Coturnix japonica: one gene and its partners. The protein of the gene in region 3 purifies or fractionates together with the protein of the main gene of each other region. This does not show direct contact. Links are inferred from orthologs where the notes say so. Each region holds a gene or a part of one and is shown on either strand. Other genes may lie near its edges.

Region 1 (4,742 bases), on a different chromosome or scaffold from region 3:
CAGTGAGTGCCCCCAAACTGCACAAACGTGACACCCCCCTACTGGACCCGCAGCCTCTGCCCCCATTTGCAACCTGTGGTGCAGCGGATCTAAGGGGGGGGGGAAGCTGCACCTCAGGCTGGCAGTGGGGGGGGGGGGCACCCCTTCCATCCAAATCTCCTTTTATCTGCGGGGGGGGGGCTCAGGGGGCGTCTCCTTGGCCTTTGTGGAAGAGATAAATGGGCCTCTGGAAGCCTGGAATAGGAAAAGGGAAGATGGGTGTTAGGGGAGGGGTATGACCCGTCTGTCCCCTCCCCCATAAACGCTGTGTCCCCCCCCCCCACCTTTGGCGCTGTGCTGAGGGGTCCCCAGCAGTTCGTAGCTGGCAAAGCCGACCTCGGGGGAGGTCAAATAGGAGGGAAACTGCTCCGGGCGGAGGCGGATGCGGTGGTAGTTCCGGTACGTTGTCTCCTGTGAGGTGGAGAGGGTTAAAATGGGGAGGGGGCCACACAACTAAAGGCCCCATAACCCAACTATGAGCTGAGGGGAGGTTATAAGGGGTTCTGTGGGGGCAATGGGGTGTTGGAAGGAATTAGGAGAGGGATCTGGGGCTTTTGGAGCGGGGTTTGGGGGATTATGGGGCTGCAGTGGAGGATTGGGGGGGGTTGTCTTGGTGAGTTAAGGGGATTTGGGGGGAGGGTTATAGGGCTCCAATGAGGGGGTTGGGAGGATATGGGTGGGAAGATCTTAAAGAGCTGAAGGCTCTGAGGGAGGTTCCCACAGTCCAGCTGGGGACTTTGGGGAGGGTTATAGGGGTCCCACAACCAAAGGCTCACAGCTGGACCCATCCCACAGACAAGAGCAGACCCCCATCCCGCACCCCCAACCCCCATATCCCCCCCAGTCCCCCATTGGTGCCCCATAACCCCATTCATCTCACCGTCAGCCCCTTCCTCTTGCGGTAGGAAGCCCATGGCTGTGGCTCCAGCAGCAGCAGCCCCCCAGGCCGGAGGTGTCTGTAGGCCCGACGGAACAACCTTTTGAGCCCCTCGTCCCCCCAGTTGAGCTGCACCCATTTGGTCAGGGACAGAACCAGCAGGACGTCGAATTCGGGGCGCTGGGCCCACACCGCCTCCTCTCGTTCGGGGACGTAGTTGCCCTATGGGGTGGATGGGTGGGAGAGAGGTTAGGAGGGGTCTCATGGCAATGGGGAAGAGACTGGGTAGGGGGGGTTAAATAACAGATTAAAGGAGATCTTCAAAAACGATGGGGATTGAACTTAGAAAAGGGGGAGTGGCCCCACCCCTTCATGTACATCCTAATCACAGCCCCTTCAAAGCACCACCCCCTTCCATCGGCACCACCCCTTTAGCCACACCCCCTATTTACCCCCACCCCAACTGTGTCACCTTCCCATTTATTGACCCCAACCCAAACCACACCCCCTCCTTTAGCCCCACCCCTTTCATTTAGCCACACCCCATATTAAAATCAAACCCCTTGTAAAGCCCCACCCCCCAACCACGCCCCCTTTAGCCCCGCCCTTAACCACGCCCCTTAAACCTGCTGTGCCTTTAGCCCCGCCCCCAAACTTAGCCCCGCCCATTCACTCTATGTCACTCTTTTAACCACGCTTCCTTCCTTTAGCCCCGCCCCAACCCAACACCCCGCCCCCTTTCCTTAACCACGCCCCCAACCACACCCCTTCCGTTAGCCCCGCCCCAAACCACGCCCTTTCCCCTTAGCCCCGCCTCTAAACCATGCCCCCCTTTAGCCCCGCCTCTCTAATTGGCTCCGCCCCAAACCACGCCCCCTCCCTTTAGCCCCGCCCCAAACCAGGCTCCCTCCGTTTAGCCCCGCCTCCAAACCACGCCCCCTCCCTTTAGCCCCGCCTCTCTAATTGGCTCCGCCCCAAACCCCGCCCCTGCCCATTAGCCCCGCCTCTCCGATTGGCTCCACCCCCAAACCACGCCCCCTCCCTTTAGCCCCGCCCCCTCCCTTTAGCCCCGCCCCCTCACCGTGACAAACACGACGTTATGGGGGAAGTCGGAGGCTCCGGGCCCGTCGGGGGGCAGCCGTGGGGCAGCGATGGGTCCCCTGCTGGCCAGCAGCGCCGCAGGGAACCCCTTCCTCCCCCCTCCCTCCACGGCGGCCATTTCTTCGGACAGATAATGCCTGATGTTCTGCCGGGCCGAGCGGATCAAGGCCCCGTCAATGTCCAGCCCCACCACTCTGCTGGGCCCCCACCTCTTGGCGATGCTGAGCGTGACGTGCCCCACGTTACACCCCACATCCAGCACCTCCTTCCCGGTGAACCACTCGGCCTTCATGGCTTTCAACCTCCCGTCCTCGCAATCCGGGTTGCGATAGCCGTAATATTTACAGTAATTCCCATATTGGAACTTCTGGCTCTTGCGGCGCCGTGGGGCCGTCGTGGGGGTTTTAGGGCCGTTGTTTCCCCCTTTCCCTTTCTCCGGTGACGCCGTAGATCGGGCGGCCTCTGATTTACTACAAGTCCTTCTCCTCTTACGGTGCCGGCTGTTGGAGCACGTTGTGCTGCTGTTTCCAGCCGTGTTGGTGCTGCTGCTGGCCGTGTTCCCGTGCTCCGTGCTGCTCTCTGGCTCCATACTATTGTTGGTGCTGTTGGTGCTGTTCCCCCGTTGCTGACCCCGGTGGCGATGCCGACGTCGCGTTGCTTTGGCAGGTGATGCCAGACGGAGCCCGTCATCCCCCCCGGGCGCGTTGAGGCTGAGCGGGTCGGTGATGTCCCGCGGGATGAGGATCTCCACGGGGTCCCGTCCTCGTGCCGGTAGCGGTGATGACTGCGGGGTGCGTGCGTTCAGCGTGCGGCTCACCTCCTCGTCCAGGAGACTGTTGAGGTTCAGCGGGTCGAAGATGTTCCCCCCCAGCAGGAACTCGGACGGCAGCGCGGGGTCACATTCCGACGTCGCTCTCCGGCGCCGTTTCCACGGCGGTTGTTTGGATCCGGTGCAGCTGCTCCGCCGTTTTCCCCCCCCTCCGCCCCCCCCGCCGCCTCCTCCGGTCGCTCTGAAGCCGTTCCTGGGTCTCGGGGCCTCCCCCGCTCCGTCCGTTTCCTCCCGTCCCCTCCGCCGCTGGGGCCCGGTGGTGTCGGTGCCGCCCGGTGCAGGCCCGCCCCCCCCCGGTGGTTCTCCGGTCCTTAAAGGCGGCGGAGGGGCCCGGAACGCGTCGGGTTCAGCCGCCATCTCGATCATGGCCCGGCCGCTCCGCCCACCGCCGAGTCCAACGAGCCGGAGCCGGACGGTGCGGCGCGCGCCACCTCCCTCCCGCGATGGCAGGCGAGTCGCACCCTGCGCCTCCTTATATAGCCGAGGGGCGGGGCCACGACGGGCCCCGCCCCCCAACCGATAGACGGCCAATGGCGTGTGGCGCGCGGACGGAGGGCTGCGCCAATCGGTAGGAGGCGGAGTGGGCGGCGGCCAATGGGAGGAAGTGGCGCGCGGAAGAGGGGGGTAGCGACCAATGGCTGCACAGCGCGTCGGGGGCCTCGCGGGGGCCTTGCGGTTCTGGGCTGTCCACGGCGGTGCCTGAACGAAAAGCTACAGCGGCAGCTGGGCTCCCGGCCGTTCCTGGCCGCGGCCGACGCTGCTCCCCGTTATCCCGGACGGTGACGGCGCAGCGCGGGACGCACGGGCGGCAGAGCGGCTGCCTTTCGCCAATGCGCGTGCGCAGACGCCGGGTGCACACGGCGCACGCGTCACCCGTCGGCGCGCGCACGTGACGCATGCGCACAGCCTCGGCGCGCCGCGCATGCGCAGTGGGGCGCCCTCTGTGCGTCGTGCATGCGCACATGTGGCGCGGAGCGCTGAGGGGGAAGCGCGTGCGCACTGAGCGCGCTCCCGCGGCGGGAGGGAAAGCGGAGGCGCGAGGCCGCGTTTTGAGGGAAAAACGGGCGATTTTGGTAAAAAAAAAAGATGTCACCGAAATAACAGCGGCCACAACCCCGGCCCCAACCGCCCAGGCGGCTCCAGGCCCCTCCCTGTGCCGCTGTGAAGGCGCTGAGCCCCCATTCACAGCAGTGCGGCCTATCGAGGCCTGCGCCCAGCTCCAGGCCTGGGGGGGGGGGTTCCATTTATCGGCTCTTTTTGCTCCGGTTCCGTTTATTTTCTCCTCATTCTTTCGCTCCGTGTTAACGAGGGTTAATGGGCTCAGGGGCATTTCCGCTCCACGCACTGCTTGCCCCCCTCCTCGTATTCCTGCTTGGAGATCCACATCTGCTGGAACGTGCCCTGGGAACATGGGGAGGGGTCGGGGGGGGGGAGATGGGGGGGCACAAATCGCTGCCCCCCCCCCACGTTGTTTGTATCGCCCCCAACTCACAAGGGAGGCCAAAATGGAGCCCCCGATCCAGGGGCTGAAGCGCCGCTCCATGGTGCTGTTACTGGCGATCAGCTTCAGGCGCATGCTCTGTGTGAGGGGGGGGAATGAATGGGAGGGAATGGGGGGTACCAGGATGGGCACTAAAAGGGATACTGGGAGGGATTGGAATGGGGATTGAGGACACTGGGAGGGACTGGGGGGCAATAGGGGGCTATAGGGGAGGGAATGGGGTGCAGTGGGGGGGGATCGGGGGTGCTGGGGGGTCAATCGGGATTGAAGGGACTGGTGGACACTGGGAAGGAGTGGGTGGAACTGGGGGGGAACTGGGAGGCGCTGGGGGGGGGCACTGGATGTATTGGGAGCCCAGAAGCCGCCTCCCATTGGGGGGCTCCCATCAACTCACC
Region 2 (4,981 bases), on a different chromosome or scaffold from region 3:
GGCCGAGAGGATGACGCTGTAGAGCTTCTTGGCCTCCTCCACGTTCTCTGAGATCTTGTCAATGTTCTGCCTCGTCTCCTCGATCTGGGGGGGCCGTGAGGACACGTCACCTGTGCACCCCATCCACCCCACGTCCCCCACGTCCACCTGCTCCACACCTCGGCAAAGAACTCATCCATGAAGGCTGTGTTGTCGATGGCGATTTCCAGCTCGTCGGTGTCATCCTCAGCATCCTGCTTCTGAGGGAAGCAGAGAGGGGATGCTCAGGGGACACCTGGGGACACGCGGTGGGTGTGGGACGAGGACAGGGAGGGGTCGCGGTGGCCCCTGTGCGGCGGGGGGGGGGGCCGGCCGGGTGCCATCTGCTCGCATCTGGCCAGCGGGAATTAACGGATTGCGGGGCTGGGCCGTGGGCGGGGATGGGGACAGGGATGGGGCGCTCCATCGTGGGGCTTTGTGGCCCCCAATTTCACCCCACGGCGGCTCCACGCGAGCTCCCCTCTGCCCCGCATCCCCCCTTGCCATGACCGCGGTGTCGTGCCCCGGCCACCCCCACCCCTCCCATTTCTGGGGTAAAAATAACACTAATCCCCCGCTCCCCCCCGATGGTGGGCAGCGCCTCCCTTAATCCCCGCTAAATCCCCCACGGGCAGCACGGAGGCCGCGGGGCAGCGCAGCGTGAGGAGCACCCCAAGAACCCTAAAGGAGGACAGGGGGCCCCACGCGTGTCCCACATCCCTTCCTGCGCCCCATAGCGAGGACGCAGCCAACCCAAACCCTCCCAGGGCTCAAACCCCCGGTCCCCTCCAGCCGTAGGGCAGCACCCATCATTGGGTACCCCCACGGGTGACCCCCATTGCTGCCCTGCACCCCTCACCGCCCGGAGCTGCTCCAGCCGGTCCCGCATGGTGCCGGGCTGCCAGGACTCGCCGCCCGCCCGCTGCCGTCCTACATCAGCCCCGCTAATCCCCGCTGATGGGCACTCGACGAGGGCAAGGCTGAGGCGGGGCTGCCCGCACCAGCCACGTGTGATCCAGGCACCCGAGGGGGGGTGACAAAGGTGCCAGTGACAGCAGTGTCACCACAGCCTACAGGTGGCCCCGGCACAGGATGGGGGACAGGGGGTGGTGAGGGACAGGGGGACACGGCCATGGGTAGGGGATGTGAGTGGTGGGATGTGGGTTGGAGGACAGGGACATGGATAAGGGATGGGAGTGTTGGGACACGAAGTGGGGACACGGCTATGGGTGGAGGGAACGGGCGGGGGGACACAAGGTGGGGATGTGGCTGAGGGTGAAGGACGCGGGCCGTGGGACGTGGCCATGGATGGGAGGCACGGGTTGGAGATGTGGCTCACAGTAGGGGACACGGGCCGGGGCTGTGGCCATGGTTAGGGGACATGAAGCGGGGGACATGGCCGTGGGTAGAGCACATGAACTATGGGATGCAGGTTGGGGGGACGTGGCCGTGTATAGGGGGCTCGAACTTGGGAGAACGGCCACGGTTAGGGGACGTGAGCTGGGGGACGTGTCCGTGGGCAGGGGTCCCGCGTGGGGGGACACAGGCTGGGGGACACGACTGGAGGGAAAGACCCAGCGGACATCGCTGAGCCGTGGCTGGCGTGTGGGGCACGGCTGGGGCAGCAGCGCGCGGCCGGGGCACGACGGCGCACGAGTGCACGGAGGCGGTCAGAAAAAGGCGGCCTGTCCCTTTAAGAGCCGCCCGCAGTGGGGCGCGGCGCTCTGTGAGCCTTCGGCTGGGCGGAGCTCATTTGCGCATGCGCACCGCACGGACGGGCGGAGGAGGTGACGTCATGCGCGTGCGCCCGCGGCGGCGCATGCGCGGCGGGGCCGTAGCGGGCCGCGCGGAGCCTGCGGGCGGGGGGCGCCGCCGCCGCCGCCATGTTCCGGTACCCGGTGAGCGGGGGGAGGGGCTGAGGGGGCTGAGGGGGCGGGGTCGGGCCGCGGGGGTCGGAGCTCGGGACTCCGAGTTGGGTTCGGGGCCGCGGCTACGGGCTCAGGGTCAGGGCCGTGGGGCCGCGGGTCGGGCTGAGGGTCGAGGCTGTGGGCTCAGGGCCGAGAGTCGGTGTGGGCGCTGTGCTGGGACCGCTGCTCGGGACCGGGGCTGCCGGGCAGGGCTGGGCCTTGGCCTCGGTGGCAGCGCCGGTTCGGTAGTCGTGGTGGTACGAAGGCACCGTCTGCCGCTGCAGTCCCTGGAGGAGTGCCCGCTGGACGAGGAGGAGGACGGCTTCCAGGTGCTGGGCGAGGAGGATGAGGACATCGATCAGTTCAACGATGACACCTTTGGGGCCGGGGCTGTCGGTGAGTTCTCTGTCTCTTGTCCACACTGCCCACCCGGTGCTCTCTGCCGCTGCGCTCAGCCCGCCGTTCCCGTGCAGATGATGACTGGCAGGAGGCCCACGAGCGGTTGGCTGAGCTGGAGGAGAAACCCGTGGGCTCAGGGCAGCAGGCCCAACCCAGCAGTGAGGATGCGGAGCTGCTGGGGGAACCTGAGGATGCGCTGGCGGAGCGACTGACACGGCTGGTGATCGAGAGCGAGCTGGAGGACCCTGCCATCATGAGAGCCGTGCACACCCGTGGGTCTGCTGCACAGAGCGTGACGCTCAACACCAGCATCTGGGATGGCCCCTCTGTGCTGCAGCGCATCCGCACGCCACTGCTCACACAGGTAGGGGCACAACGCTGGGCACACGCAACGAAGGGTTGCAGGAATGGGGGAGGGTTGAGTGTTAGGAAGAGGTTCTTCACCACAGTGGCTGTAGGTGTGGAGAAGGCTTCCCGGAGAAGCAGGCACTGCCCCACACTACCAGAGCTCGAGGAGTGTTGGGGCAATGCCCTCAGATGTAGGTTTGTGTTTGGGGCGTTCCTATGTGGGGCCGGGGGTTGGACTCAGTGGTCCTGTGGGCCCCTCCCAGCTTGGGATATTCTGTGGCTGTTGGGTGAGCTGCTCTTGGACATCACTTCTAGTCCCTGCACATGCTCCCTCTGGGCTGGGAGATGCCACGCAATCCCTGATGGTGTCAGCACTCAAGATTTGGGATCGTCAGTGCCTCGAGCCATAATTGTTTTCATTGCTGGTTGACAGAGAGTCAGGCTTAATTAAGAGCTGGGCGCAGGATCCTTAGGGCTCTCTGAGAACCCTGGCTGGGGCGTGGGGATCTCCAGCACTGGGAAAGCGCAATGGGGCGGCTCCTCTGTTCTATACCACGTCATATTCAGTGCACCTTGCCACCACGTCCAGCTCTGAGTCTTTTTCACAGGGCCACTTTTACTTTCAGGAGATGCCATCGTTGTCCGTGCTGGACTACGCTCTGCCCCAGAGACCCCCACAGGCTCGGGAGGAGGAGCGGGACCCCTCGGAACGGGCACTGCCACGCCGCTCATCCTCCCCCATCATCGGGAGCCCCCCCGTGCGAGCAGTCCCCATCGGCACCCCACCCAAGCAGGCCACCATGCCCAATTTTAACCAGCAGGTATGGCCCCAACTCCTCACAGCAGGTGCAGACCCCTGCACCCCTGGTGAGGATCCAGCGGTCAGACCCCCACTGCTTTCCTTCTCTCAGATCCTGTGTCCAAAGCCTGTCCACATCCGGGCTACCATGCAGCAGCGCTACTCTGCTCCCTACGGCGAGAGGATGTCCCCCAACCAGCTCTGCAACGTACCGGTACCCCCTGCTCCCACCCCCATAACCCTCTGATGCCCCGACTGCATCATACTGCCTAGGAGGACTGTGACCAAGGGGTCTGCTCCTTTATTTTCCTGCAGAACTCTTCCTTGCTGGGCCACCCGTTCCCTACCAGTGTCTCTCCCGTTCTCACCCACCTGCAGCGGGCACAGCTGCTGGGAGGTGCACAGGTAAAGCCCTAGACTCTGTGCCCCCCAAGGCCCATAGGGGCGAGGGTCCAGCATTCTGATGGACCCTGCCTGATCCGCACTCCCTCTGCCCCACAGGCTGGCCGAATTTCTCCTAGCCAGTTTGCTCGAGTCTCAGGCCTTGTTGGGAGCCCACTACCCTCCGTCAACCCCAAGCTGCTGCAGGGCAGAGTGGGGCAGATGATGGCTCCCACTGGTGGCTTTCGTGCCTTCTTCGGGGCTGGCCCCACTCCGCCCTCACAACCGCAGCCTCCGCCGGGCCCCATGCCTCACCTGCAGGGCCTGAGGTAGGCACTGACCCCCTCATGATCATTCACCTGCCCCACGGCCCTCTAACCCCCTGTGCTCCCCACAGGCCGCAGCCCTTCCGACTGGACACCACCCACCTGCACCCCCAGCACCGCCGGCTCCTGCACCAGCGGCAGCAGCAGAACAGAAAGTGAGCACTGGGCGGGAGGGAGCGTGAGGAGGTGGGCGATGCTCCGGTGCCGGCTGTTCTGGGGGGCCCATGCAGCCGGGGGTAGCCTGTGCACCACTCTCTGTCCCTTCCTGTAGCTCCTGTGTGTTCATGGGTGCCCTTCTTGCCTCCTGCCAGCCAGCACCGTGGCCTCAACGGCTCGGTGGGGGACCGAGGGGGCCACCGGGGCAGCCACCAGGAGCAGGTGCGCAAGGACCCCTACGCCAACCTCATGCTGCAGCGGGAGAAGGACTGGGTGTCTAAGATCCAGATGATGCAGCTGCAGAGCACCGATCCCTACTTGGACGACTACTACTATCAGGTATTGGGAGGGAGGGCAGGGGTGGGGCCAGTGGGAGGGAAGAGCCGTCACACCCTGCCTTGAGAAAGGGAGGGCTGAGGAGCATCGGAGAAGATGTTGCTGTCTCTGTGGGTACTGGGATGGAGTGCTCTTGAAGCACTGCTGTGTGAAGGAGAAGCGGGGGGGGAGAGAACTTTGCTCCTGGGGTGCTTACCTGACCTTTCCTGTCCCTGTCCCAGAACTACTTCCAGAAGCTGGAGAAGCTGTCAGCAGCTGAGGAAGATGGTCCCAAGAAGGAGCGTACGAAGCTCATCACCCCTCAGGTGGCA
Region 3 (4,804 bases):
GTGGGGCCGTGTTCTGTAACCAGCCAGGAGGGGCAGAACCAGACAGCTTCAGAGACTCCCTTAAGCTCCTGCCCAGCCCAGGAACGAGGCTCATCCCTGGCACGTCTCCTTTCTGCTCTTTGGCAGAGGCTGACTTAGAAGCCAGACAACACTCACTCAACTCGATCTTGCACAGGAGCAGCTCCAGCTTCTCATAGACCAACAGCTCTGGGTTCAAAACTGAGAAGCATCATCCCTTCCTTGCACAAGAGGTGGAATTTAAAGGCAGGAATCCCAGTCACCCCCTCTCTGAACTGAAAAGCAAAAAGGATCGTTACCTCGTCCAGCACCTCCAACACCGCGGCCTTTCTGCTGCTTCTGCTGTTGCATCCCACCACGGCCTCTGCCTTTGGAGACCACCTCTTCTTTCACCATGTCAATTATCTCATCGGGGATCCGAAGGTATTTAATTGTGCTGCCACGGATGTAACACTCTGGCATCCTCCAGAACTTGTCACCATCCTATTGGGAAGCAACGTGTTAAGCTGAGAACAAAACCACGTGCACTTAAGTTGCTTTTTGACACTTGAATATCTCCATCACTTCTGAAGCGTGCGACAGATGTAATAGTCTATTCTGAATGTACAACCCATAATTAGCTGTGAAATTCCTGTTTTCCCTTTAAAACACGCAGCCCTACAACCTGCTGGGGAGTCAGGGGGCGTTCAGCCATGAGCCACTGCAGTTTCAGCCCGTTCACAACCGCCTTTGACTCTCACAGAAAGTGAAGGAAGAAGAGGAAACAGCACCTTCCCTTTGCTTCTCATACAAGAAGAGAATCGAAAGTGGGACTGGAGAGGGAAATGTGGTAAGTTCAACACAGCTGCTGCAACACGGGGCAGTTCCAGCACATAAAGCCCCAACCAGAGTCACCTACAAACTGAACCCCTTTGTGGTGTGGATTGAGCAGCGAGGAGCATCCAGCTGGGTGTGGGGTGAGCCCAGCAGCGCACAGGAACCGCGGCTGTGGAAAATAAGAGCTTACAGATCACGTTCAAAGAAACCTTCGGGTGCCAAGTTACGGAGCAGCTGCCTCTGTGTTTTGTTTAAGGCAGTTTCAGGGCTTTGCTAGGACACAGCCCATCAGGGCTTCAGCTCCTGTGGCTGTGGGAATAGGAACTGCATGTGAAAGTTGAACAACAACTGATGTAAGCGGGAGGAGGGATGGAACCTCGTGCGCACGGCCGTGCTCTGCTGCAGGGCTTGGCTGAACACAGGCTCCTCACAACTATCACACATGGACAGAGTGTCCACAACATCCCAGAGGAGTGGGTGAAACCAGAATGCCTCGTTTCACCTCTCCAGAATCAAGTTGTACCCCCCTCCTCCTCTGCTCCGGTGTTATTTGGGGCAATGCAGCATGCACAGGCAAGTTCCGTGTGTGTGAGACAAGCAGCCTTCTTCAAACAGGCACCCAGCAAACCCCACCCTGCCTGGATCCGCCCGGCTGCACTTTGGCTCTCTATGCAGGAAGGGATGGAGCCAGGTCCCCGGCTTCCTCGTTCCAGCTCCCCATGTAAACAGCTGCCGCAGCTCCATGCCATCTAGTGGCTGATCCCCACCGTGCCACCAGGAAGGCTTCCATATATACCCCCCCAGTAGCACCCAGGGGGTATTTAGGGGTGGGGAGTGAACTGCAGACCACTCGGTGGGTATAAATGCTGAAGTGCTCTGCCCACAGCAACACAAAGCTGCTTAATGAGGAAGCAGTATTAAAGGCCGGCATCCCTTGTTCTGCAAGCACTAGTAAGGCTTTGCCACTTGCCACCCCTTCCCATTGAACTTATCTGTTTATCTGCCCCAACAATCTGTGGATCCAGATTTTTAGGGCTCACTGCTCTGCTGTTATGATCCTTCTTAAACCTTTGCTTTGTTTAAGTACACACATCACATCTCCGTGCCCCAGCACTATTGGCCAATACCTTCCTGCTGTGGGTCCAACAGGCACAGAAACCCTTCCTGAAGAAGAAGGGTTTCCCTGACAGCCTCCCCCACAGACCCGTGATGTTCCCAGGCACAGAGAGCAGCAGCAGCAGCAGGAACGTGGCCAGGCACAGGCTGCCAGGGACAAGACCAGACACTTGAGGCTGAGGTCAGAGCTCAAAGCACAGATCCCAATCTCTTCTCGGAGCACTTTGGCCATGGGCAAAAGTAGCAGACGAGGCACAACCCGGTTAAACAAGAGGCCCTAATAACTTTTGATGTGGAGTTACAGGGCGTGAGGCAGGTGATGATGAAAGGCAGCACTGTGCTCGATGGGGCTGCATGGAGCGGGCAATGGGACAGGACCTGTCACCAGCCCTTCACACTGAGCACCTTCACCCTGCTGTCAATGGGCTCATTCGTTTCTTACACCTCATAACTGCGTTACATTCACATTCAAAGCAAAAGCAACACACACAGAAGGGTGAGGATCTCTGCGAGTCCCACTCAGCTGCAGGGCTGGGGGCTGATAGCAATGTGGGGTCTATGGGCGCAATGGGGGGTCTATGGGCGCAATGGGGGGGGTCTATGGGCGCAATGGGGACAACTCATTCCTGATCTGCTTTGATGCTGTTCAAAGTAGGGGGTCTATGGGCGCAATGGGGGTCCTGGCATTGAGCTGGTTACCCGTGAGGTGCAGATGACCTCCCGCAGGTTGATGTTCATCCAGTTGTCGCAGCTCACCAGGTGCCCGTTGTACGTCTCGCCGTTCTTCAGCTCCACCAGCTGGAAGAAGCAAAGGGGGGGGGTCAGCATGAAGGAACCGGGACCGACGGGGCGGCACGGGGACCCAACGGGACCCGACGGGGCGGCACCGGGCCCATAGGCCGCAGCGGGAGTGGGCCGGGACTCACCATAGGGTGGTTCTGCGCCGTCTTCAGCAACGACAGGGGCAGCTGCGGGGGAAAGAGAGAAAGGCCTCAACAACCGGGAACCGGGACCGCCTCGGATCCCCATGTAGGGGCTCAGGGAGTACCGGGACAACCGAACCGGCCCGGCCCGGCCCATTCCCGCACTCACCATCGTGCCGGAACCGCGGAGCCGCCGCCGCGCCGGGCGCTGCCGCTCAAACCACCCCCGGCCCCACACGGGACCAATCAGAGCTCGGCGCGGTCCTCGCGGAGCCAATCAGCGTGCAGGACCCGCCTCGGCCGTAAAGCATCGCCGAGGTTGGCGGTGCACAGCGTCACGACAGTGCCGTAAATTGAAACGCCGAGCGGGAAGCGGCACGGAGCGGCGCTCAGGAGGCGCTCTAGGCAGCGAGGCGGCGCGCACTCTATGGTCGCGCGGGGCCGCTCTGGTCCTCGGGGCGGCGCGTATTCTATGGCCGCGCGGGGCCGCTCTGGGCGTCGGGGCGGAGCGCGCTCTATGACCGTGCGGGGCCGGTCGCTCAGTGCGGTGCGGGAGCGGAGATGGAGAAACCGCGGAGGGCGGTGGTGGTAACGGGTACGGGCGGATGGAACGAGACCGGGGGGTGGGGAGGGGACGGCAGGGTGGGCTCTGATTCCATTATCTCAACGGGGGGGATGCGGGATTGGGAGGGGGCGGTGAGGGGCACATGGGGGTGTCGGGGTCCTGGTGGGGGTGTACGGGGATTGGGAGGGGCGCGACGGGGCTGCGGCGTGTCACAGACCCCTCCGGTTATACCCCCCCCCCCCGGTCCCCGCTGTATTTGTCCCATCTCTTGCCCCGGGGGGGTTGGGGGGTGGTCTCTGCTTCAAACATTCAGAGCTGATGGTGCTGGATCTGCCCCTGATGGTCGCACTGAGACCCCATTGCAACCCCATGAAGGTCTGCAGGGTGGGCTCAGTGCTGTGTGCCCGGCAGGACCCTGTGCTGGGTGTGGGGTGGCTGAGGCTGGGTTTGGTGCTACCCATAAAGTTGCTCATCTGATATGCAAGGAATCGATCTGGGGGTCGGTGTGGAGGATGAGTGAGGGGGCAGCTCAGTTGGGTTCAGAACGAGAGGTTTTGGTTACATTGGGGTACCTGGAAAGCTGGTGTGATTCATATTGAAACCATCCCAATGAAACACCTGTTTGGTGCTCTCACATCTATAGCTTATATATGGAGAAACAACAAGTGCATTAGGATCCTGTGGGAGCCTTCAGGAGGGTTATTATGGGGAGATATTGATGCTGGTTCCGCTTGGAGGCTCAGGTTGATACTGAGATCCCATTGAGCTGTACAAAGCCCTGTTGCTGTTGTGTGCGGTGTAACCTCAGCCCTCCCCTTCTGCTGGCAGCACATGGGAGGTTTCCATTAGTGTGTCATGTAATATTTGTGGTCCTGACTTAGATGCAGTGCGTGCCTTCTGATTGCATTAGGCTCACAGGGTAGCTCTGCCATCTGAAATTAAAGCATATCGATCCCACGCCCAGATAAATGCCCAACCTTTGTGTGCTCGCTCAGGGAAAGATGTGATGGGTTACTAGTTAACTCCGAGTTACTCATTAGGAAATGCAGATTTGGGGACGTAAGTGTTTTTATAGCGTTGTGTAACCTTTGGTGCTCGGTGCAGGTGGGTCAGCAGTGCTTTGTTTGGTTCCTATTAAGGCAGAAGGGATTTTGGTGAAGGTGTGAGCAGAGAAATGCTGGATGGAGACTTGTCTGTGTTTGTGGGCTGTTACAATCAGGGTTAGAAGATCCAATCATGATCCCCATTCTATGCCATCACTCAGCTCCTCCATAGCTAACAAGTGTTCCTAACCTGGTCAGCAATACACCCCCAGTAGGGACTGGGTGTTACAAGCAGTGGCTTTTCTTTCAGAGCACATCAACAG
Region 4 (3,049 bases), on a different chromosome or scaffold from region 3:
GCTTTGCATTTTCTGCACATAGGTACTGTCTAAAACAGGGGTGTAGGGTGTACAACTACGTACACTCAAATGCCAGAGTAAAGCATTTTTTTCATTAAAGCTTTTGTGTATTTAATTGTTCTAACTGTGGTCTCTTCTCTGCCCTATAGCTCACCTTTGCTGGCTTCCATCAGTGAAGATTGTACAGTAGCTGTTCTCAACTCAGACCTTTCAGAGGTGTAAGTACCAGACAGTGTATTCACTGGGGCTGTTTCTCTTGCTGATTTCTCACTAATTATTTATGTACCAAAGGGAAGATGAAAATACTCCTTAAACTGGGGAACGTTGTCCTAACAAACAAGTAATTAGGAAGTGTTCAAACCCATATATTCATAGCAGCATTGCTTCATTGCTTCATGGCTGATTGCTCTGTTTTCCAGGTTCAGAAGCCGTTCTCATCGAGACTTTGTCAAAGGTTTATCATGGTCTCCTTCAGACAATGCCTTGCTCACTACAATTGGATGGGATCATCAGGTTTTACATCACACTGTCCCCATACCAACTGGTGAAGCTTCCGGAATCAACTGTGTAAAAGAATAGTTTTATAAACTCATTGGTCTAAATTCCTTCCTGGCATTACTTTGGTTCTCCTGAAGTCGACGATGTTTGTGAACTGGAGTGGTTATGGATTATTGTCTGCCTTGAACCTTGTGACTAAGAAGGTTCCTGTAGTAGTTTTGAGTTAAGCATAAATTAGTTGCAAACCAGACTGTACCACCTCCTCAGGAGTTGGATTCACCTGTGAAAAGACTGCAGTTTTTTATCCTGGAAAAAGAAATAGTGGCTTCAGCCACAGAGGAGCCTTGAACAGGGAATTAGGTATAATAAAATGAAAGACTTGTTTCTTCAAACCACTCACAGAATGAATAGAAACAGATTATTTGGGGAGGTAAAAAGGAACCACCTTTACTGAGGTAGATGCAAAAGCCTCACCTGAGCAAAGTGTTCACTGTTGAAATACTTCCTTCCAATGGGGCAGGAAAACGTGTTGGAATTTTAAGGGTAGAAGAGTTTCCTTGTTGTCTGTAGTGCCACAGTCAGTGTAGGTTGGTTTTTTGCATCTTCTATTGCAAATAATCCCACTGTGAGCACTGTATGTGCACTTCTGCTCCACTGGTGGGTATCAGTACCAGTGCTTGGTGTGATACGTCACATATGCTGTATGATAAGGATCTCAGCTGCAGTCATTAAACATCTTTGTGATGGTGCATGACATGCTGAAATACCAGGACCTGTAATGCTCAGCATTGCTTGGAGCTGAGAGCAGCTCAGAGGCTTTTCTGCAGCATGCTGAAAGCTGAGAGAAGTTCACTTGACACCACATTTCAGCTTCTCTGTGCTGAATGCAACTTACAGAATAAGGTTTGTGAACAGAAGTTCGTATAAGGGGAAAAACTGGACTAAGGACTTGAGTCTTCATTTTGCTGCTCCTGTTATCAGACTGCTTAGTGATAAATAAGGCTCCTGATACACATTCAATGAGTGACTGAGAAGATCAAGCAATTTCCATAATCCCCTCAAAGACTTCACGTAATCCTTAGAGGTTGGGTTTTGTTCTTTGGGTATATTTTTTGGGGGGTAATATAACGTACAACTCAAACCAAACTGTTTCCTTTCAACATATTTAACTGACAATAAACGGCATTGCTCTGCATACATGGCTGCTGCTCCAGGTGTGGCTTTCCTAGAGACAACAGTGGGTTTTAGCGAATGAAACAGAAACTACTGTTAAAAACAAATGCTACATTGCCCTTACTGTGATAGCAATGCTACACTGTAAACATCTACAATCATTTTTCAGAGCAAAATTCCCCATCTAGAGCATTGTAATCACAAAGAACAAGTTTCCTCCATGCTGCCCCTTGGAAGAGTTCAAGGCAAAAGGTTGTGTATTACAGTGCAGCTTGTGAACAAGATGTCTTTGCAAAGGATGGAAGATGGTTTTTAAATAAATCACAGTTTTCATTTACAACTGGCTCTTCAGTTTCACCTGGCTTCCTGTGCAACGCCAAGAGCCAGCTGAGGTCACGGCCCTGGAGTTACAACTGTGCTTAAATAAACTCACCGCATGCAATGCAAGCAGGGACAAGTTTCAAATAGGAAGTTTTAAACCACCTAAGTTCCTCAGCTAACCGTGCTGCAGAGCTCTGCAATCCATGGCAAAAAGTGATATAGTGGTGGAAGATGAGGATCATGTGGAGAAAAGGTCACTTGGTATTTCATTCCTGTTCTTGTACAGCTGATTAAAGACTTGGCATAGTAGCACATACTGGGCTTCAGCATCCTGCAAGCCTTTGGGTAAAGCTCTGTGTTCCACCGCAGGAGGGCAGCAGCATGACAGCAGAGGTTTGCATGCATTAAAGACCATCTACCCTTTTTACTGCTTGTTTTTTTTTCCCCCTACCATCATAAATAAGCACAGAAGTGCATCACTTTATTTAGTAGCTGCTACTGTGTTAGCTTACCAAGGCTATAAGCACTGGGAACCAACAAGGCCATAAGAAGCAGTGTCATACCAGCACAGGGGCAGAACACTGACACCATCACATCGATGCCCACTGACTTACAAGCTATTTGCAAAGGAACTGGAGGACTCTGGGTTTCATGATGTGCTGATGCTGCCCAAACTGCTTCACACCCTGCTTAGGTTTGGGGACACTGCTGTAATATATTGTGGCTAGAGAAAATGCTTCAAGATACATTGCACGCTTCCCTAATGAAGAACGTTGTTTTGTAGCCAGGATTAAAGAGATGAGAATGCAAATAAGTATAATTTGGAGGAGTGGAGAGAGTAAGCCACTCCGAAAACAAGCTGCCTTTTATGTTAGTGCTTGCATTGCTCATCCTGCGTTTTCAATTTTAAGCACAGCATTCTAGTCCGGACTTGCAAATCACTTTGCAAGTTTCATTCCTAATGAAAAGCTCCAAACCAAGAACACTATTTATAGAAACCCAGGCTGAACCGTAAAGCTGCCCCATCAGGCTGCTTAGCCTGCAGGGCATGGGGTGG
Region 5 (2,983 bases), on a different chromosome or scaffold from region 3:
CGTTGGACATCTTTTTAGGTTCCTCAGTGCATTCAGATGAAGTTGCTGGTGAATTCTGGACCACCCCATTCTCAGCCTTAGCCACAGGATTAGTCTGGCGTTGCAATGCTCGAGGCATCATTGAAAGCTGTGTCCTTCCCTTCCCTCGCCTGGAAAGCAAAAAATGGCACTTAGAAACATCCTAATGCTCTATGAGCATACTGTTCTAGTCTAGAGAAACAGAAAGCTCTTTGTTTGCTACAGGGAACACCCATTAAATATTATTCTTGCCATTTGTTTCAGTAGTAAGCAGTGCTTTCAATGGACACCCTTTGAAACAGCATTCCTGACAGAAAAAACTGCCCAGCAGATCCCAGAAACTGAAGCTCCATGTTTTATCTACAGGGCATGCACAGAGCGACAGCAATTGCAAGCAGCAAGAGCACTCGGGAGGCAAAAGAGTAGCCTCAGAACTCACTGTGAACAGTCAGCTCTTTGGAAGAAGAGGCTGTGAAAGTTAAAAGGGCTCAGGTATGAACAACACACCCCAGGATGTCCAATGTATCCTCTTGGTCACTATAGACCTATTTCTATCGCTAATGTGAAGAAGAAAAGTCTACTTTTCCTCATCAATCAATTACTACTATTATTATTCAGTACATTTTAGATGTTCCCTCACATTCCAGAGGGAATTCCTACGTTTTTGCCTACAAAGAAACCCAATGTTTGCTTTCTAAGCATGGCCAAGCTGTCTCCCTTGCCAGTACTCACGCTCCATAGATCTGCCGTGGTACTGCAAACTGGGAGGCTCTGCCTGCCTCAGTCTTGTCTGGCAGCTTTCGGAGAGGTGGGTTACTGATTGCCACCTTGATGACGTGTTCCTTAATTGTCAGCCCATCCATTTTCAGCACAGCCTGCGAGGCCTGGGCTTCGTTTTCAAATTCCACATAGGCCAGGCCCTAAATAAGGAAAGAGGTAACCCACGTTAGTTTTAGTGCTTCTTCCTCTGCATGACAGCTGGAATAGAAAACACCACACAGAAAGTGGAGCTAAACAAAGCCACAAATCCCAGTATTCTTTAAGACTAACTAAAGAGAAGTTCTTTCTTACGCAAATCTATATCCTACATTCTTTCTTCATGTATAATGAAGAAAGATCCCAATAAAATGTCACGAAGTATTGCCTCAGCAACAAGGCTTCACTTCTAAATATCTATTATACATCCATCCAGGATACATCTGGTATTGGACAGATTTGGGTTCACAGGGGGTGAAAACACATAAATCCACACAGATAGAACAGAAGGATCCACAAAAACACTCTCAGTTTGCATCTACAGAAGCAAGCCCACTAATGTAGGCCCACCTGAGTTTCATGTGGAGTAAAAGCCACCCCAAGCAGCAATAACAACATAAAGGCACTGATTTTAAGAGACTGGAATCACTGCCTCCAGAACAGAGACTGATGACAAAAGCCTGTTTTGCAGGAAATGAATCTGTGTTGCTTTCACAAGGTAACAGCTGCTAACCACCTGCTGCTGGTACACCTTGAGTAACGGTGTCTTGTTTCCAGCAGAGCAAAGGAAAAGGCCTCCCCTTGGCATCTGCTGTACCAGGCTGCTATCAGGGAGTGCACTATGGCTGGGAGGCATCACCTCCCAGTTCTCTTATTGTGATTCTTAAGTCCCACTCAAACCCTTATGCTGTGTTTTTGGATTATCCAGTTTTGCAGGACTGGAAATACACCAGGATTCATATTTGATTCCAGTGTATTTAATTGTGGTTTAAATAAAATCACAGCTCTCACAGCAGAGAACACAGACTACACAAGGCTTGGGATACCAAAAGAGAACTCTTTAGAATATATGCTCCAAATATTAACAGAAGTTAAAAATCCAATTTAAAATGCATACACATCACCACCAGCATGGCACCTGGTGGAAGTGCCTGACATCCAGACAGGGCAGAGTTTCCAGGTGGAATTTTGGCAGTACAGCCAAAACTGGTTTAGTTCTTAGTTAACAAACACCCATTTATTCCAGCATGGAAATAACACCTGCCAGAAAGGTGTCTCATTTCTCACTGCCAAATGTACTATTGCAACAGGTGCCCTGAACAATAGCATCAAGAAACTGAAGATAGAGGAAGAAAGGAATCAGTTACAAGTGAACTCTATCCAGTTGGTTATTCAGAAACAAATATTCTTTGCAGGTTTACGAATGCCTCTTTCTAAGTTGAAAATGCTGTAGATAACCTTTCCTCCTCCCCATTAGATCACACACTTTTCTTAAGCAATTGAATAAGTATTTCAGGAAAAAAAATTCTCATTGTCCTCTTTTTCTTATCTGTTGGCATAAAAGCACACTGGGTTGTACAAAGGCTGACAACAATAATCATTCAGTGTACTTGCATTAAGCTATATGACCTACTTTTTGTATCCAGATCTTATGAAAAGTTTCTTTTTGAAGGATTTCATTGAAATTAAGAGTGTATTAATGATGCCTACCTTGGGTTTTCCAGCTCGGTTGGTGACCAGCCTAATGTCTTTCACATTCCCATGGGCTTTACATATATCTTCCAGCTCTTCCTTAGTGCAGGAAAATGGCAAACCAGATATAAACAGTTTGTGTTTCTCCAGTGTGGTACTATACCTGAACACCTGCAGAAATTAACAGGCTGTTAGTTCTCAAATCAGTTTGAAACAAAGGGAATTTCAACCTACTATAAAATACTCAAGCGTTTGGGGTTACATTTCTGTGATTAAAACAACAACCCATTAAAGACATGAGCAGCACCTTGACAGATACACAACGATGCTCAATTAGGAAGCCAGGTCCCACTGTTCAATTAACTCCTTATTCCAACATATTCAACATACTATTGAAAGAATTCAAGTTTACCTTAAAGTCTGGATTCTTGTTCTTGTCAATACAAGGAGAAACAAACATGGGTCTTCCCTCCACAACTTTACGATCCAAGCTAAGAGCCTGGATAGCAGACTTCTC

What was found.
Region 1: the proteins of LSM4 (region 3) and MEPCE purify together in Homo sapiens (affinity purification with mass spectrometry; 3 studies listed by BioGRID and IntAct, with this or other methods). This does not show direct contact. The link is inferred for Coturnix japonica from reciprocal best matches to the Homo sapiens genes LSM4 and MEPCE.
Region 2: the proteins of LSM4 (region 3) and PATL1 purify together in Homo sapiens (co-immunoprecipitation; 4 studies listed by BioGRID and IntAct, with this or other methods). This does not show direct contact. The link is inferred for Coturnix japonica from reciprocal best matches to the Homo sapiens genes LSM4 and PATL1.
Region 4: the proteins of LSM4 (region 3) and WDR77 purify together in Homo sapiens (affinity purification with mass spectrometry; 3 studies listed by BioGRID and IntAct, with this or other methods). This does not show direct contact. The link is inferred for Coturnix japonica from reciprocal best matches to the Homo sapiens genes LSM4 and WDR77.
Region 5: the proteins of LSM4 (region 3) and SART3 purify together in Homo sapiens (affinity purification with mass spectrometry; 4 studies listed by BioGRID and IntAct, counting the BioPlex papers as one, with this or other methods). This does not show direct contact. The link is inferred for Coturnix japonica from reciprocal best matches to the Homo sapiens genes LSM4 and SART3.

The regions. Positions count from the first base shown.
Region 1 is NW_015439878.1:132,547-137,288, reverse strand, and holds MEPCE (7SK snRNA methylphosphate capping enzyme), read right to left. Parts: upstream 3,313-4,742; 5' UTR 3,213-3,312; coding exon 1,998-3,212; intron 1,139-1,997; coding exon 920-1,138; intron 451-919; coding exon 324-450; intron 235-323; coding exon 182-234; 3' UTR 117-181; downstream 1-116. Other genes in the region: ACTL6B (actin-like protein 6B), read right to left, coding at 4,167-4,247, 4,339-4,425, 4,742-4,742. UniProt on the Homo sapiens protein: S-adenosyl-L-methionine-dependent methyltransferase that adds a methylphosphate cap at the 5'-end of 7SK snRNA (7SK RNA), leading to stabilize it.
Region 2 is NC_029520.1:202,347-207,327, reverse strand, and holds the start of PATL1 (protein PAT1 homolog 1), read left to right. Parts: upstream 1-1,845; 5' UTR 1,846-1,901; coding exon 1,902-1,916; intron 1,917-2,209; coding exon 2,210-2,321; intron 2,322-2,398; coding exon 2,399-2,688; intron 2,689-3,298; coding exon 3,299-3,493; intron 3,494-3,583; coding exon 3,584-3,685; intron 3,686-3,786; coding exon 3,787-3,876; intron 3,877-3,972; coding exon 3,973-4,181; intron 4,182-4,249; coding exon 4,250-4,333; intron 4,334-4,489; coding exon 4,490-4,673; intron 4,674-4,891; coding exon 4,892-4,981. Other genes in the region: syntaxin-3-like, read right to left, coding at 1-84, 159-239, 878-907. UniProt on the Homo sapiens protein: RNA-binding protein involved in deadenylation-dependent decapping of mRNAs, leading to the degradation of mRNAs. Acts as a scaffold protein that connects deadenylation and decapping machinery.
Region 3 is NC_029543.1:3,005,543-3,010,346, reverse strand, and holds the start of LSM4 (U6 snRNA-associated Sm-like protein LSm4), read right to left. Parts: upstream 3,161-4,804; 5' UTR 3,046-3,160; coding exon 3,043-3,045; intron 2,919-3,042; coding exon 2,877-2,918; intron 2,749-2,876; coding exon 2,650-2,748; intron 502-2,649; coding exon 318-501; intron 1-317. Other genes in the region: PGPEP1 (pyroglutamyl-peptidase 1), read left to right, coding at 3,435-3,468. UniProt on the Homo sapiens protein: Plays a role in pre-mRNA splicing as component of the U4/U6-U5 tri-snRNP complex that is involved in spliceosome assembly, and as component of the precatalytic spliceosome (spliceosome B complex).
Region 4 is NC_029541.1:3,354,257-3,357,305, reverse strand, and holds the end of WDR77 (methylosome protein 50), read left to right. Parts: coding exon 1-22; intron 23-149; coding exon 150-218; intron 219-419; coding exon 420-579; 3' UTR 580-2,011; downstream 2,012-3,049. UniProt on the Homo sapiens protein: Non-catalytic component of the methylosome complex, composed of PRMT5, WDR77 and CLNS1A, which modifies specific arginines to dimethylarginines in several spliceosomal Sm proteins and histones.
Region 5 is NC_029530.1:5,657,105-5,660,087, forward strand, and holds part of SART3 (squamous cell carcinoma antigen recognized by T-cells 3), read right to left. Parts: coding exon 2,879-2,983; intron 2,638-2,878; coding exon 2,485-2,637; intron 939-2,484; coding exon 751-938; intron 150-750; coding exon 1-149. UniProt on the Homo sapiens protein: U6 snRNP-binding protein that functions as a recycling factor of the splicing machinery. Promotes the initial reassembly of U4 and U6 snRNPs following their ejection from the spliceosome during its maturation.